Linked DNA regions of Rattus norvegicus. The protein of the gene in region 2 interacts with the protein of the main gene of each other region in a biochemical or structural test. Links are inferred from orthologs where the notes say so. Each region holds a gene or a part of one and is shown on either strand. Other genes may lie near its edges.

Region 1 (4,289 bases), on a different chromosome or scaffold from region 2:
AAGTGTCAACACAAAGTATAGTGGGGCCTAGGGAAACACGGCCAACTCGACGGTAGAGAGATGGAACCTGACCAAGTAAGACAGCTTGGAGTACAGGTCGGGAAAGTAGACACGACACCCAGAGTAGGGGCCTCTGCCACCGTTTAGCCTTTGCTGGAGAATAAACATGATGGAGCTGGGGTGCTCCGCCCACTGGAGGCTGCGCAGGCCACTGCATGGCCTCGACAACCCGGCGGGAGTTAGGAAGGGGCGGGAGCCTGGTCTCCTACTTCCGCGCAACCGGCGCCTGGGGCCTGTGGCTTTTAGGGGACCATCATTTCACAACTTGGCCGATTATCCATGCAAGTTTCCAATCGCTCCTTTAGTCAGCCTCAGTTTGCCCTCCCCCAGTCTCAAGGGCCCAGCTGGGGAAGGGAAGAAACGACCCGAACTCTGGTATCCCGAGCTTGGCACAGATGACCGAGCCAGGCCATTTTATTGCAGCTCCGCTCACTTTTGCCATACCGGTTATCCACAGGCCTAGTGATTCCCGAATCCCGGTGCGCAAAGACGAACGCTACAGACTCGATCAGCCAGGCAGGGTGGTGGGTACCCTACACTGAAAAGTTCCACCTTTGGGATATTTTGTTCCCCAAACCAAGAATGGCATTGGGGACCCAGAGATGGGGAGTCAGAACCTGTGGGTTAATGCCCTGTTCCAGGGCGAGGAAGGAGGGGGAGGGTCGCGCACGTGGCTCGGGGGCGGGGCAGCGCGCTTCCGCACCCCCACCCTGGCCACGTGCGGAACGCAACCCCCACACACATACACCGCGGACAGGGGCGCGTCCCAGTGCCTGAATGTTGGGGGAGGGACGAGTTGGAGAGGGGAGGGCTCCCGGCGACTGCGCACCCCGCACAGCGTGGTGGGCGCGCCGGGAAGGAGATGGAGCGCGCACCCCGAGGAGGCGTGGCGCGCACTGGGGTAAAGGCGGGGCATCCGAGGCTGGGGTGGGGTGTGTGGGCGTGTCGCAGGGGTGGGCGTAACTCTCAACGCGTTGGGAGGTGGCGATCCAGGAAGGGCACCGGTAGGGGTAGTGCGTGCCAGACCAGAGGAACGGTTTGCCTCCGCTGGCTTGTTCTTGAGTGGAGAGGACACAATCCAGGGTGATAGGGGACCCCGGGTGCTCTGCTGGTACACGAGAGTGTCGAAGTGGGGGAGGACCGGCAGCTGGCGTAGTGAGCTCCGCCCATCCGCGGCGGCGCGCGACTCTCCGGACGACAGAGGGCGCGGCAGGAGGGGGCGTGACCGCGGTGGGGAGAGGGCGTGGCCACTGAACCCCGAGGGGGCGTCCTACGGGCGGGGCGGGCCGTGGCCGCCCCCGCGGGCTCCGGTGCGTCAGGGAGCGTCAGGCGGGGCGGGGCGGGGCGGGACTGAGCGCGGGCGGCGGCGGCGCGCCGGGGGCCTCCTCCTCCCTTCCCTCCTCCGCCTCCCGCACTCCAGCAGCCGCTGCCGGCCGGACGGGCGTAGGTCCCGCCGCCTCCGCCTCTCTCCCGCCGCGGATCCCGTGCCTCCGCGTCCTTGCCCGGCATGTCGGCGGCCGTGGCGTGTGTGGATTACTTTGCCGCCGACGTGCTCATGGCCATCTCTTCGGGAGCCGTGGTGCATCGCGGGCGACCCGGCCCCGAGGGCGCGGGCCCCGCTGCCGGCCTGGATGTGCGCGCCACGCGCCGCGAGGCCACGCCGCCGGGGACCCCTGGGGCACCGCCACCGCCAGCCACCGCTCCGGGGTCGGGAGGCGCCACCGCTGCGCCCCACCTGCTGGCCGCCAGCATCCTGGCCGATCTGAGAGGCGGGCCGGGAGTCGCCACAGCAGCCAACACCGCGGGGGGCACCTCTCCGGTCTCCTCCTCCTCGGCCGCTTCGTCTCCGTCTTCGGGCCGCGCCCCCGGCGCGGCCAAGAGCCACCGCTGTCCCTTCCCAGGCTGCGCCAAAGCCTATTACAAGTCTTCGCACCTCAAGTCACACCTGCGGACTCACACAGGTAAGCCCCTCGTTTTTTGCACCGGTGGGTTCAGGGAGTGCAGTAGAGAGATCTCGGGAACCCCATTTCCCCCTCACACTTGGAACCCCGAAACTGCGTGGCGCGTGGGGGGCGGGGAGGGGGGCGCGCCCAGGCTTCAGCGGCCCGCCGGCCGGGAGGGCGGGGACGTGGTGGGTGGGGCGCGCGCGGGGAGGCGTGGCGGCCACGCGGTCGGGCGGCGCGCTGAGGGCGGCCGGGGTGGCCAAATCTCCCGCGACTGCAGGTCGTTCGGTATCCACCCTGGCGTGGTGGGTTCAGCACGTGCGATCGCAGCCCTCAGCTTCCTAACCTCAGTCCCGCTTGCTGTTTCTGTCCTGCTTTTTTGTGCTCATGGTCTCTCATGCTTGGTGGTCAGAACATCCGGTTCCGTAGTTCCTCCGCCCTCCCCCAGCCTCAGTTTCCTTATCTGTGAAGAGGGTTGGTAGATCCGGGTTACCGCCTCCGGGGTAGCAGCGCGGATTCCCTCCGAAGGGCAGCGAAGCCTACAGCATAGGGTTAAGTGATAGCGGTGGTGAGGGGGTGGCTGCCCGGGACATTTTTCTTTCCATTCTGTGTACTTGAACGTGGTGGAGTGAGGCCACGACCCGGACCCGGAGTTGGGGCTTGAATCTTCAATCCAATAGGATTGAAATACCCACCACAACTCTCCTCCCACCTCTTGTGTTGGCCCACTCCACACACCTGTGATCGATCTGTTCAAGGTCCAAGGTGGGCAACGAGCTTTAGCCACACCAAGTGTTTCTGGGAAGCCCAAATGGATGAGACAAAAGCTTTTGCTAGGTACTGGCTGCTTCCTGACCTGGATGATCCAAGGGTCTGTCCGTGTTAGCTGGGAGTGTGCACTGGGATTTGAGAATCCACCCCTTTGGCAGTGGTGTGATCTACAGCTCTGAGGCCTCCCTGGAATAGGGCCACCCGTCTGTTATGCCCCTAATTTACTTGCTTTTGGTCCACCATCTCCTGCCTACATAAAAGATAGAGGCCGCCTTTCTCTTACAGTTGCTGTGGGCAACAAGGCACCCAAACAGGGCTTGATTGATCGGGGGCTTCCATCACGGTCACACTGGGAGAGTTTAGGACAGCCCCCATAGGTGCGTGGGTGGCCTCAGGCATGTTCAGGGCAGGTAGGGGGGTAGGGGAGCCATCTTTGGATCCTGCTGAGCCAGAAAGTGGGCATAGATGGTGCCTCCTCTCGCTCTGTCTTTGAGCCGCTGCCCTTAGCCCCTGTGGTGTAGAGGCTGCCCCCATGTTGGTGCCCACATGCACAGGCAGCTCCATATGAATACGCCATTCTCTCTACAGAACATTTGAGGGGGCCACACAGATAGCAAGGCTGTGTGAGTGTGAGTGAGAGGGAGGGGGGAGGAAGAGAATGGAGAGAGATCTCTCTCTTTGCCACACAGTGGAGTCCAGGGTGTCCTGGTTCATGCTAAGTGAGTTTGGCCACGCAGTGATGGGACCCTGTCTGATTCAGGCTGCACCGCCCACACTTTCCAAACCAGCAGTCTTTCTGGTTCCCAGAACTTGGGGTGGGTAAAAGAGGAGTCCAGTGTCCTCCCCACATACCTCCTGGGACATCAGGAGACAGTTCTGTTACTCAGCTGTCAAAGGCTGTAGGCCATCCCTAAACTGGGAGGGTGACCTGGTGGGCCAGAGCAACTGAGAGCTGAGAGCTGAAATCTGGGGTCTGGGGATGACGGCAGTGACCTGGGGTGTGGGGTGGCTTCCACACTTCACTGGCTCCTTGTGTCAACACCAGGGGAGAGGGGTTGCTATGTCCCCAAACCCCGAATTATAGCCATTTGTGGGACCGGGAGATTCACGGGGGTCTGGGCACCTTTATGTTATTTTGGGGGTATCTGGGGACCACTTACCTTCGGTTCTGCCGTTTAGTTGTTTAAATGACTTATCCTTGTAGACAGGACCACTGCAGCCCTGGCAGTCCTAGGACTTGCTCTGTAGACTAGGCTGGCCTTAAACTAACTCACAGATTGGCCTGCCTCTGCCTCTCGAGTACTGGGATTAAAGACGTGCACCACCAGGCCTCATTTTTTGAGATATGTTTGTTCTCACTCTGTAGCCCAGGCTAACTTTGAAACTCAAGGAAATCCTCCTGCTTCAGCTTTCTCCTGAGGGCCACAGCTGACTTGCCCAGTCTCTCCTCTGTGGAGAGACTGTGTGGTCACAGACACCTCGGGTGCTGGGCCTGGGGTAGATCTGGTCTCCTTC
Region 2 (4,296 bases):
TGTGCTTTGCCAGGAATCTAATTAATACCGATCTCAAGTCTTAAAAAAAAGAAGAAAAAAAAACTTCTTTATGCGAACTATTAAGGCCTGAATTTAAAAGTATTAACATTTTTCAAAGCTATATTTCTGTTTTTTTCACACGTGTATAGATATATGGGTATGCACCTGTGTCTGGGTGCCTAGGGGCCAGAGGTGTCAGTACTTGGAGCTCCAGATACATGTTGACATGGGTGCTAAAAACTGAACTCAGGTTCTCTTAGATACTAGTAAGTAAAAATAAACATATAGTACTGATGGATGGAAATGTAAAAATAGAAAAAACAAAAACAAAAGCAAACAAATATAACTAGGTTCTTGAATTTTTAAAGCCTAGGACTTGTGACTCCAGCACACAATCTAGAATACACATTCTATAAGAGTACGAATTATGCCCAGCAGTGGCGGCACATGCCTTTAATCCCAGCGTTTGGGGGGCAGACAGATCTCTTGAATTTGAGTCCAGCCTGGTCTAGAGGGTGAGCTCCAGGACACCCAGGGCTACAGTTAAACTCTTGTTTCTAAAAACAAAACAAGAAAAACAAAAAAGATATGAATTAGGTCATCTGTATTTCCCAGACTGTGCTTCAAATGGTAGAATTAACTGAGGTTAGGCAAACTTTCCTCAAAGGCTAAGCATTCTCTACTACCGTTTTCAATGTGCTACATCTGTAAGACACCCAAGTTCTTATCTTTTGGCCTCCACCTCAATTCTGTTACTACTGCTGTTGTCACTTTTTTAGCTGAAAAGTGAATATTTAACCTCTTCATTATGTACGGCACAGGGCATGGTTTTCAGCCTCTACTGAACAAAGGACAAATCCAGAATTTAGCTTCAGAAATTACATATAAACGATGGGGTTAGAGACGGCTCAATACAGACTGCAGACTGCTCGTGCAAAAGGACCTAAGTTGGGTTCCCAGAACCCATGTCGGGTGGCTCATAACCACCTGTTAACTCCACCTACAGGGGATCTAACATCCTATTCTGGCCTTACACACGCACGCACACTTTAATATAAATCTTTTTTAAAAGTGGTTTATACATACTCATTCAGACATCAATACATAAATTAAGGATTCAGTGTTTACTTTTCATAAAAAGTTCTCTAAATAAGATCAGCTAACACCAACCCACCTAATAAGGTTACCTGTGCAATAAATCCACAATGGCCAAAGTAACACAGGTTGGGAGGTCATGCTACACATAGGTTTCATAAGGTTCAACCTACTTAGCATCTAAAAAGATCTTTAAGGACTAACAATTACATAAAACTAAAAGAGAACACAAAATTTTAAGTTACCTTTGTGCAGCTAAGCTTATATAACAAAACCTTCTGTAGGTTAAAAAAAAATCAAGAAATCAAAGTATTTTACTTAAATTAAAAAGAAAAATTCTGACTAGAGGAAAAAAAATCAGCCCTGGGGTATAACCTAGTGGTGAAGCAATACTTATGTGCCTTAAATAAACTCCGACACACACAATCATCTTCAAATATCATCTCTGCCAAAGACCAGTTTTAAGATTAAGAAGTAAATTCAATCCTTTCTCTAGAAATACAGTCTCAGCTTTATAAGGAGCTGGAACGGCAAACTGAGTTTAAAGTCCTGAGGTACCAAAAATGGTAGCAAATTTTAGCTATCTACCCATGGGTGCACAGCTTAGCTCTGTTAAGGCACAGTAGCTGAACACCAAGGGAACTCTAGGAAAGGTTGGCGCCCTCCAGAATCTCAGTCTCTGAGTACGCTGCCCCTCCCCCACCGGCCACTGGCGGGGAAGCATGGGCCCAGCACCAGCCGCACCCCACCGCAGACACTCCAGAGAGGACGCTGAGTTTCTCGTCCCAATAATTACAACTAAGAGGAGCAGCTGACCACGCTTCTACTCTCCATAGCTTTTAAGGCGCCATTCACGATGCGTGAAGCAAAGTAGAGACTACAGCTCCGGGCCACGATGCCCCAAGCAGAATGGATGGAGAAGCCACAGCAGAAAGTCGGGACACCTCCACCGCTCCCAGTCTACAAGCGGCCTTCCCACCTACAGGGACGCAGGGCGGGGCAGACACGGAACCCTGACCCCTGCCAGACGCTACAGCGGGCTTTCCCCAGCTATGCTTCACAGCTAAGGAGGCGGAAATCCCGGCGGGGGCGGGGCGGGAGGGGCGTGGCATCACAGCCCCGGACGCGCCTTCCGGCCAACCGGATCCCGCTAAGGCGGGGGAACACAGGCTTCACGCCCCCTCGCCGCCGCGCCCTAAAAGCCACACGCCGGGACCCTCTTCTCGTCCCGCACACCCCGCGGACCCAAAGCAGTACAACCCGTGTCCCCGCCCACAAGGGGAGAAGGGGCGGGGCCACGGCCGCGGGCCTTTAGTCCCAGCCCGCCCCGCCCCTTTCTCCACCACCGCACGCGCGCCGGCCCCGCCTCTGATCGGCGGGACTAGGGCCCGCCCCTCCGTGCGCACCGGGACTACGCTCTCCTCCCCCTCCCGCACTGAGTGCGGCTCCGCTCCGCCCCCCACAGCCACGCACGGGAAGCCGAGGTCAGCCCCCCCGAAAAACACACGCCCTCCAGTCCCGGGTTACCCGCCACCCAGCTGCTGGGCAGACCGCGACGCGGCGTGCTCTCACCGCAAAAGCTCCAGCCACTCAGCCTGCGCGTCGCTCCCGGCGTGAGCCTCGCACCCAGCACGGAGGCCCCGGAACGGCGCGGGCACAGGCCCGCAAGAGCGGACTGGCAACCTCCTTTGCGCCTACGAAGCGGTCACAGGCCTGGGTGTCCAGACTGGGAAGGAGGGAGGGAGGGAGGGAAACTCTAAGGGGGGAAGGGGAGGGGGGAAGATGGAGAAACCGTCTCTGCCGCCTCTACCGCCGCGGCCGCTTCTCTGTTACCCGGGAAATCCCGCCCACTCTCCCGGCCCGCCCCGCCGAGGGAAGGCTTAACCTCGCTCCGCCACGGGATATATTACCCATCCGTCAATGGTTTAGCCAATCACCGTGCCGCAAAGGCCTATTCCCGCCCTCTTCCCTCGCTGGGAGGGGAGAGCAAGCCGCTCACCTTCTCCACGCCCCTATTGGCGGGGAGAGTCCCTAACTCAACCCCGCCTATTGGAGACTGATTGCCGAATCCCTCCTCCAGGCTCCAATACTATTGGAGGAAGAAGGGTACCTCGTCACATCTCATTGGAGAGTCTCACATATCCCTCCCCATACCGCCCCAGCCACAGGCCTAACAAATCGGCTCCCGCCTCCGCCGGTTCCCGCATTGGAAGACTACCTTTGCTTCTCTCATAGCCCTAGGAAGGTAAGTAACCAATGTGGGGTAAAAATGTCCTTAAGTGAGGCCGACTCCACCCACTACACTGCTGGGCCAGGCTCCGCCCCCAAAGATCTGATTGGACTATCTTGGCGCCGGTAGGAGCCGCCATTGGACACGGCGCCGGTCCAGGAAGGAGACCATTCCGCCCTGCGCGAGGATGCTGAACCTTAGCAGTCCTTTTGTGGAATGTTTACACTGGAGACTGAAGCTCAGCGTTCCAAGGCCGGGACCGGAGATGGCGCGCAGCGCAGCGGTCGAAACCGGAGGCTTTGAGATTTGAAAAGGAAAAGGCAGTAGTATTACCACCATTGGAGGATTAACCAAAACAATGACAGAAAGCCTCGTCCTTCCTACCCACTTATTTTTACACTTTCACGGTCTTCTAAACACAGCCATCTGGAGCACTCAGCAGCTACTTTCAGCAAGCCGACTCCAAAATTAATGTCTGGAGCTCTAATCTGATACAAAAAACCCAGATATTACTAGCCAGTCGCCAGAGCCGGCTGCATACTGTGACACTGGGACAACCAGAATCCGCAGCCCTCAGGGGGCGGAGATAACCCAGCGGAGGCCTTTAAATGTCACCGCCTGGGCAAGCCTCCGGAAGGCGGAGCATGAGAGAAAAAAAAATGTATTCCAGGTCGGCCGGGTAGATCCAGGGACATTTTAAACTGGAGGAAGGGATGCAGAAAAGCTCACACAGACCACTGTATAAATAAACCTTGAGTGTGCATTCACATTCAGATAACGAGTAAAAATTCCAGATTGTGTGAAGGATATGGTCTTAAAAACGACTGTTCAAAGGGAAGAGCCTGTAATCGCAACTATCCTCGATAGGGCAGGAATAGTGTCTCCTAGGCCAGCCCCTTCAAAAAAAAAATGTGAGGGGTATCCATGGCCTCCTTGGCAGAATGAGTTAATGGCGGTCTCTAAGCCTTCTT
Region 3 (4,207 bases), on a different chromosome or scaffold from region 2:
GTGCATGGGTGGAGTTGGGGCACTAGAACATAGAATTTAGCAGGTTTTTCCTTCAAACTCCATAGCTTTGTCTCCCTGTCCCCAATAGATTAAGCTTCATAGAAGCAGATCAGGCAGAGGGAACAACTCTATCTGGAAAATACAAACACAGATTGCAAAAACATATAATAAGCTTCCAAAACCTTTGTGGTCTACGTGTGGTCTTTGTGGTCATGTGTACCTCAGGATTCAAACAGCACAAAAAACAGAAGGCAGCTAAGGATATGAGGTGATTGCCTGGCAAGCATGAAGTCCTGGGTCTAACCACCAGTATAACAATAACAACAAAAAGGAAAAAAATAATCCTTGGAGTACAACGTCTACATGATGCTTTCTTCTTCAGTGAAAGAGGAACCTGTTACTGTAGCTTTAAAGCACTCAAGACACATTCTCATGGAAAGGAAATAGGCATGTGTGATAGATCAATACTAGCAAGAAAGTCATATAGTTTCTTCAAATTCTTAGGACACACTAACTTCAGATGTCAACAGGAACTTTGAAAGGAAACTGTTTTAAAAGTTGCTTACAATGTTTAAAGAGCTATGAGTAAAACAAATAGCTAACCCGAGGGGCACCTGAGGAAGCAAACATGTTACAGAATATGAAAACAAAGTAAAGGTTTCGACTCTGAGCTCAGGCTCAAATGTATAAACTTTGAAATCTTTTGGGTGTGTTTGTGAAAGTGAATGCACTCTGTCTGTCGGTCAGCAATTTGTTTAATGAATGGGTTATGTGTATTAACTCATTTTAGATCATTTGTACTTTTAAAGTGTGTGGATTCTTTAAGGTTCTGACATACCCAGGTAAGAAGATAAAAGCAAGTGTTTTCTAGGCTTTCTGAGTATGACTTGAATTTGAAGTTAAAAACAAACACACAAAAAACCAAAGCCTATAAATATATTTTTCCAAATCCTTGGTGGAAATTCCCCAAGGACCTAACAGTCCAAACTTTTTTTTATAGAGATCCAACATATTTCAAAGAACCTAAGACATCAGCTTAAATCATGTTATTAATTGAAATTGCTGAGATTCACATAAATCCAACCACAAACCCAAAATACAATAATAATTTACCTATTAGTGAAATTTTACTACCCAGGCCCAAATTGGTTTCATTTACGTAGTATATCAAAAACATCTAGAACTTGTGAGAGTCCTACAACATCTCAGTCACTTAGCACTATAAATTAGTTCATTCTGTTTCATGATCGCCATCAACAACCCTATATTTGAGATTATTGTCTCACTGTTTGGGGTAATGATTCCAAACACTGAAGACGACATGCAAATGACTCAACAGAGCCCATTTGTGTTCCTGGAAAATTAACCAGGAGTACATATCTCCCTGACTATGAGTCAGGAATATCAATTTTATGGTGGAGCCCATTTTTGTTTTGATGAACCTTTACCGGAACATACAAAGAACTAGCACAGAGGTATTCCCTAGCAAGCTTTGCCCTGCGGGGGTCCATACTTAACAATGTCACACCAGGGTCTTTCTTGTGAAACCGAATCTTTTTAGACTCCACCACGATTGATTAAACCTTTAGTGCAAAACCTCAGAAACATTGCTACTGACACATAAAAGTCACCTGTGTTTTATTTTAAGTGATTCAGTCATAACCGAACTAAAAAGAGAATGAACTTTCAGAGATAATTGACAGAGGAGTCATAGCGATGTTTGGTACTGGAGATCCTGAGCACTCCAGGACCAAGAGAGCCCATTACATACAAAGTCCCATTCCACTTATGTAACTGGATGATCGCTGGCGAAGGGAGGGGAGGGAGGGTGGGAAGACGCTCATATTCCGAAGCCACAGTACAGCATCCCCAAAGAACCAGAGCACCCTGCGGGCATGGTCTCACGGAAGAGCTTCGAGTGCTGAGGAACGCACAGTCCCTAGCCCACGGTTCCTGATGAGAACTACAACCATCTCTTTATGATGAGTTGTGGGACCTAGGAACATAGTGTCTAGTCCTTTTTGTGGGTGGACACTAACCCCCAACTTGTTCCTGCCAAGTGGGGAATGGAGCTGATGGACTGACTCGCTTGCAGTGGGGGCAAAAAGTCATGGAATGGGAGAGGAGAAGGAGGGAGCAAAATCCAGAGATGGGGGTAAGAGCTCAGGAGCCCTTGTGGCGCACTCTCCCAACGGGAGATGGACTGCGCACGCGCGCCAGTATGTGGGGGGGGGGAGCGAGTAACGGGAGTGGGGGCGCGCGAGGGAGAGGGGACAGCGCGATCCAGGGAGAGGCCGGGACCGCGGGCGCGCGGCAGTGCCGCGGCCCAAAACCCCAAGAAGGGCAGGAGCGCGCACAGCCCCAACTGGCGAAACCCAGACGACAAGGGCGCTTGCAAAGGCTGGGGCCCAAGATGCGCACAGATGGGGCGGGCAGCGGGCAGCGGGAGGGCGTCATTCGAAGGTGGCTCGAGGGAGATCGCGCTGAGGACCGTCGCTCGCAATTGCGGGAGACAAGTGGAGAAAGCCACCACCGGCGACAGAGAGAGGGGGAGGGTAGAGAGGAGGGACGCCATCCGCCAGCCGTGTCGCCCGACCCCGCGGGCCCCTCCCGCGCCACGTCCCGCCCCTACCCCCCGCCCCCCCCAGCAAGGGTCCCCGCCCGCAGCCTTGGCGGTCCCACTCACAGTCTCTCCTCCTCGCCTCCTCCTCCTCCGCTCGGCGCGGCGGCGGCGGCGGCGGCGGCGGCGGCAGCGGCGGCGGCGGCGGCGGCAGCGGCGGCAGCGGCGGCGGCCATTTTCCGGACGGCTTTTACCACAGCCCTCTCTCCGAGAGGAGGGAGCGCGCGCGCAACCGATGCCGGGACCCCGCACGGCCGACGTCGCGCCCCGCCCTCCCGGCCAGCCTGGGCGCTGCTGCACCTGCGCGCCCGCGCCCTAACGGCAGCGCTTTGTCGAGTTTACCCTCTATTGGCTGTGGAGCTCAGGCTGGGGCGGGGCCTTAGCGGTGACACCCTCAATTGGCAGGAGTTCCTGTCTGTTTAGGCAGGGAAAAGGGGCGGACCCCATTCAGCTGCGGATTGGTGGAGGTCTACTGTCACTTCGAGAAAAGAGGCGGCTAGGGCACAGAGGGGCTGGTTTTGTGGGCAGCGTTTGAATGTTGAGGATTAACGGGGCCCTTGTGGACTCTGGCGCTTAAGGAAGTCTAGGCTCTTGTCGCCTATTAGAACCGCCCTGCCCTCTATCCGCAAGCGCATCGGGCACGCTGTGATAAGCATTTAACTGCACCAGCATTTTCTTAGTATCATTTTCTGTAGAAGCAGCAAAGTTGCCTGTTGAGGAGCCTGATGTTGTTCCAAGCCAAGGGACTTGTTTTAAAGGCTCTACCAATTGTATTATTCCACCTAATTAGCACTCTTAAGGCAGTAAAATCAACATATCAAACAAATCCTGGTCTTTGCAGACCTTTATAGTGGGCAGATGTCAGATGCCAAGCTAATAAGAGATTTGTCTGTCATTGTTGAATCAGAAGGTTTGATTGAAGTAAGTATAAAAGAGAGTGAGCCCAGAGGAAGCAGCCCTGCTTTGAAGACCTGAGATCCAGCAATCTGGATTTCAGAGTATGAGGGAAGGTTTAGGTAATAAGGTGTCAGGATTGTCAAAGCAACCTTACCCTTATACTAGTCAGCATTCGATGCTCCTTGTGCTAATCCTGTGCTCAATAGGAGACTTTTGGATTCAAATTTGGCTCCCCTCTCCATTCATTTAGTTGCTAGGCACTGTTTTAGTACTGAACAAGGAGACAGACTAGAATCCTGGTAAGAAAGAATCATACTAAACATACAAGTAAGTAGAATTTAAAATTTTTCATAAAGACTTTGAAATAGGGCAAGAGCGAAAGGAGTGCTATTTTGATAACCTCTAGCACTTGCCCATGTCATCCCCCAATATGGGTAACTGGGGAAAACATTCTAGGCAAGTTTAAACACTCTAAGGAAGGACTATGCATGTCTTGCCAAGGAGGCCAGTGTGACTGGAGAGAGACTTAGGTCACCAAAAGAACTGGGAGATTATTTTGAGATGAGAAGCCCTTGATACTTGAGTCACTAGCTGGCATCATAAAACCTATGTTGCCAGTGAAGAATGGAGAACAGGCCAGTCCAGAGGTCCTGACAACAGTTGGGGTGGGGAGAAGAAGAAGGGGGATGA
Region 4 (4,037 bases), about 8.3 Mb from region 2:
TGCTCTGAAGCAGTGCATTGGATAAAGTGCATTGAATCCTAGCCATTCTTTAAGCCTGAGAGCAGAGCCTTCCTGTGTAAGACCAGTGTCCAACATGAGGCTCACAAACTTACTTAAAATTAAGGAGTTTTCAACCCCTCCCCTTAGTCAACCTAAGCATTCAGTCTTACCGCTCACCCCCTCCCTATTGGCAAACCCTCATCCTCAATGGCTTTCTAGTTCTCGCTCACTGAGACGGCCTTAGGAGACAACCAGAGCCTGCCAGCACTGGCTGCTAAACATGATGGTTGGTCTCCTATCTGCAGGCAATGGGGTTGTCCTCTCCTAGTCATCCCAGACACATCTCCTCTCCATCATCAGTGACTTCTACAGCCTTTGTCCTTGCACTCTGGTCAGGGCTGCAAAGGATTGGCAGACCCATTTCTTAGGCTGGGACAAACACACCCCACCACACACACCCCCACCCCACCCCTACCACATCACATTCTAGCTTAAGTCATTTCTAACTACAAGTTCCTCAAAGTTGCTGTATGTGTCCAAGAGATGTGTGTGTGTGTGTGTGTGTGTGTGTGTGTGTGTGTGTTCGCTCACCCACATCTACATACAATTATACAAGATGCTACAACCCCCTCTTTTACCTCTGGCCCACAAGGCACCAATGGACAGAACGCTCTAAGAAGAGAAAGCAGAGAACATCATAGGAGGCTATGTTCCCAACAGCCTTGAGGGTTCACACCAGACTGGATGCCTCCCAGGTGTTGGCAAGCCCAGTGACAAGGAGAAAAACTGACACTGAATATGGTTCTGTAAGTGACATTGGCACCAGCATCTCTGGCGTGAGTTAAGCCCAGAAGGAAGGGAAGACAGAGCTGAGACACAAAGGCCTCTCCCAGAGTGTATTCTGGATGACTGAGAGGCTCTCGACTTTGAACAGCCATTGAGACATGGGCAGAAAGACCTAACGGGATAAGGTCTCAACCTCTGTCTGCAGCCAACATTTCACACAGCCTGGGGAGAGAGGGTGGAGAGAGCTAGGCTTCTCACGCACTCTTCATAGAGCATGCCTTCACCCTCAACGAGAGTCTTAAGGACCCTTAGACGCAAAACTCATGCAGAAAGAGTTAACAGTACTGGCTGGCCACTCTTACTGCCCACCCCAAAGTAGAAACGGAGGGCATCAACAGTGGTGAGATATTCATTCGTCAAAAGCTTCTTGAACATGGTGTGCTTTCGGGAGAGATCAGAGATTCAAGAACTAAGGGAGAGAAGCCGAAATAAAGAAGGTTCTCTGCCAAATATCTTCCTCCAAAGGAGCCTTTTGAGCCTTAAGGGAAATCAAGGTGCCCTCTCCCTAACCCGCAGCTCCGCACCCGATCCGACTGTCGCTAGGTGCAGCGGTCAGCCGACTCTGGGCAAAGCCAGCGCTAACCCGCCACAGAGCTCCAAGGATCGATGGCGCAACACACCCCTTGTTCCCAGAGACCCCCCGCCTAGACTTGCAGAGGACTTTGGCAAACTTGGAAAAGCAACTTTTCCCCGGGAGTCAGGTGCCTGGAAGAAAGGGATCGGAGCTGAAAAAAGGAGGAAAGCGAAAGAGACCCGGGAAAGGAGAATGTCCGAGCCGGCTGGACGCCGCTGCTAGGCCGGCCGGACGGCGCAACCCCCCGGGGGAGAAAAGGAAGCACAAAAAGCCCCGAGGCAAGTGGTGGGAGGCCAAGCGAGAAGAGATCTCTGGGTCCTCCACCTTCCACCCAGGATCGAGATCCCTGGGAAGCCACCAGCAGGGTCCCCGGCCTCCCGCACCAGCTGCCGGCGTGCCCGAGTCAGACACGCTGGGAGCGTGGCGGGGAGGAGGCGAGCTGGTTGCAGCGGTGCGCGTCTGTGCATTCCGGTGGGGTCCGCAGGCTGCCAGGATCGTGCGCATTTCGAGCGCGTGCGGGAGCGTGCGAGGGGCTGGGCAAGCTTGCAGCGCGCCAGGGTGGGAAAGACATTCCGAATGCATCAGGTGCAGAGCCGGGAACCCACCGTGCGCGGCCGGGAGCGCACAGCGAGCTCCGGCTCCACGGGCTGTTCCCACCGAGAGCCGAGGAGGACCCGGAGCGCCAGAGTCTCTCCGAAGCTTCCCTCTCTCCTTAAAAGGGGGCATCAAGTCCAATCAAGAAGAAGAAAAATCCCACCACGTTTTCTCTAAAGAAAACAAAACCCGAGCGGGTACCAGTCCCCTCCCACCCGCCCTCCAGGTTCACTCCTCGCTTCCTCCGGTTCCAGCTCCCCAGCCCGCCAGCGAATAAACACAAATAAATAAGACACAATCCTAGCTCACGCCAAGCGCACCGGTCCGCATACATATGAGCACCCACAGGCTCTCTGCTCCTCCGCCAGCCCTTGCCTGTACAAAGACACCCAGTCCCCGACTATACGCTCCCGCAGCCCTGGCAGACCTCCCGGCCTGCCACCTCTCACCCGGACCGGACCGTGCCCGGAGGAGGAAGGTTGGTGAGGCAGCTGCGCCCGAGCTGACAGCCTCGGCTCCGCTTTCTAGCTGACCCCCAACCGGCACGGGCGATCGCTGCAGAAGCAGCAGCAGCAACCAGAGAACCCCGCACGAGCCCAGCGGCCGAGTGGCCAAAGCTAGCGCCACCCGCCTAAACCTCTCCCGCCCCAGGGCGCCTGGCGGGAGGCGGTCGCTGGGCGGTGCGAGTCCTTCCCGGGTTCCCTACACACATACACTTACCGCTTGCAGAGCCGGGAGCTTGGGGTGGGTGTGCGTGCCTGGGGGGTTAGGGGTGTGCCTGGATCGGGGAAGGGGTGTTGCTGGGGAACTGTTGCTCCGGATCTCACGGCGGCAGCGGCGGCATCGCCCGGCAGTTCGCAGTACCCGCTCTCATCACCCTTAACTCCTCTCTGCCGCTAGGTTAGCAAATCACCACCGGCTGCGGCGCCTCCGCCGCGTCCCACGTCAACGCCGAGCCCCCTCCCCTGCGAGGCCCCGGCGCCTCTCCATCTTTAGTGCTGGCGGCCGAGCCCGGCTCCCTGCCCACAGCTGCCCCCTCCCCTCCCCCTGGCCGGCCCTGGCCCGCCCACCCCGCCCCACCCCCGCCCTGGCTGAGCCCGTGCGCGCTCCCAGCCCTGCCCTCCCTTCCCGGGCGCTCCCCTCCCTTCCCAGCGCTCGGCGCTCCGGGCTTCTCCTGACATCTAGCTGCTGCCCCGGCGCCAGCGGCTGTTGCCCGTGGCTAGGTGGAGAGGGCAAAAGGTTGCAAGGAAGAGGAGCCGCAGAGGATCTGGCAACCCCCAAGGGGTCAGAAGGATGAGAGGGAGGAACAGTTCCCACTTTAGCACCAGGTTTTTCATTTCCACTGGGCATGCGGTTTATCCCGCGTCCCCAACTCCCCCAACTCCGGTGCTCAGGAGCGCAGTTTTGTCCCGTTCTCTATTATTTGCACCAGTGTGTGGCATCTAGCCTTTCACTTTTCCTCGGGATTCGGACTGCATCCTTCCTTACCCTAGACACTAGTTTTAAATGGGTCGTTTCCCCAGTCCCAAACCAGGCCTCTCATGCCTGCCCGCGGGGATGAGCGTCTGAGTTAGCGGGATTTGGCCAGATAAATCCAGAGGGGCCAGTAGAGAACTGGTAGGAGGTGACACCTCGGTTTTGCAATCTAGATTGTCGCAAACTGAGATGTCAAGGCCCGAGTAGTAATACTTTCTCACTCCCAATCTCAGGCATCCTCCCCTTATTTTCCCCCGGCCCCAAGAACCTGGATGGAAAGTTGTGAAGATCCTGCGCCTAGCTCAGCTCAGCCTTCCGGAGCGACTGGAAGCTACGAAGAGCGCTAGGCCGCTCCAGAGTTCTTTCTTCCCTCGGCGGCTGGCCCACTTTAAAGGGCGTAGTTGAGATGCCAAACCGTAAACCAAAGAAAAATCTGTCCTTCCTCTACCTGCGGAAAGCTCCGTCTCTTCCTTTTCACATGAAACTGGGCAGGAGATTGGGGGGGGGGGAGGTACTTTTCTGAGCTCGAGCCTCCCTCAAAAGCCCC

The links.
Region 1: the proteins of Sin3a (region 2) and Klf16 form a complex in vitro, tested with the Homo sapiens proteins (2 studies listed by BioGRID). The link is inferred for Rattus norvegicus from reciprocal best matches to the Homo sapiens genes SIN3A and KLF16.
Region 3: the proteins of Sin3a (region 2) and Mecp2 form a complex in vitro, tested with the Homo sapiens proteins (2 studies listed by BioGRID). The link is inferred for Rattus norvegicus from reciprocal best matches to the Homo sapiens genes SIN3A and MECP2.
Region 4: the proteins of Sin3a (region 2) and Zbtb16 form a complex in vitro, tested with the Homo sapiens proteins (3 studies listed by BioGRID). The link is inferred for Rattus norvegicus from reciprocal best matches to the Homo sapiens genes SIN3A and ZBTB16.

Annotation. Positions count from the first base shown.
Region 1 is NC_086025.1:9,787,701-9,791,989, forward strand, and holds the start of Klf16 (Krueppel-like factor 16), read left to right. Parts: upstream 1-1,484; 5' UTR 1,485-1,567; coding exon 1,568-2,021; intron 2,022-4,289. UniProt on the Homo sapiens protein: Transcription factor that binds GC and GT boxes and displaces Sp1 and Sp3 from these sequences. Modulates dopaminergic transmission in the brain.
Region 2 is NC_086026.1:66,380,291-66,384,586, reverse strand, and holds the start of Sin3a (paired amphipathic helix protein Sin3a), read right to left. Parts: upstream 2,805-4,296; 5' UTR 2,668-2,804; intron 2,580-2,667; exon of another isoform or gene 2,321-2,579; intron 558-2,320; exon of another isoform or gene 452-557; intron 1-451. UniProt on the Homo sapiens protein: Acts as a transcriptional repressor. Corepressor for REST. Interacts with MXI1 to repress MYC responsive genes and antagonize MYC oncogenic activities. Also interacts with MXD1-MAX heterodimers to repress transcription by tethering SIN3A to DNA.
Region 3 is NC_086039.1:156,993,098-156,997,304, forward strand, and holds the start of Mecp2 (methyl-CpG-binding protein 2), read right to left. Parts: upstream 2,806-4,207; 5' UTR 2,797-2,805; coding exon of another isoform or gene 2,687-2,796; intron 2,609-2,686; exon of another isoform or gene 1-2,608. UniProt on the Homo sapiens protein: Chromosomal protein that binds to methylated DNA. It can bind specifically to a single methyl-CpG pair. It is not influenced by sequences flanking the methyl-CpGs.
Region 4 is NC_086026.1:58,070,703-58,074,739, forward strand, and holds the start of Zbtb16 (zinc finger and BTB domain-containing protein 16), read right to left. Parts: upstream 2,806-4,037; 5' UTR 2,735-2,805; intron 2,711-2,734; exon of another isoform or gene 2,464-2,710; intron 2,168-2,463; exon of another isoform or gene 2,026-2,167; intron 1-2,025. UniProt on the Homo sapiens protein: Acts as a transcriptional repressor. Transcriptional repression may be mediated through recruitment of histone deacetylases to target promoters. May play a role in myeloid maturation and in the development and/or maintenance of other differentiated tissues.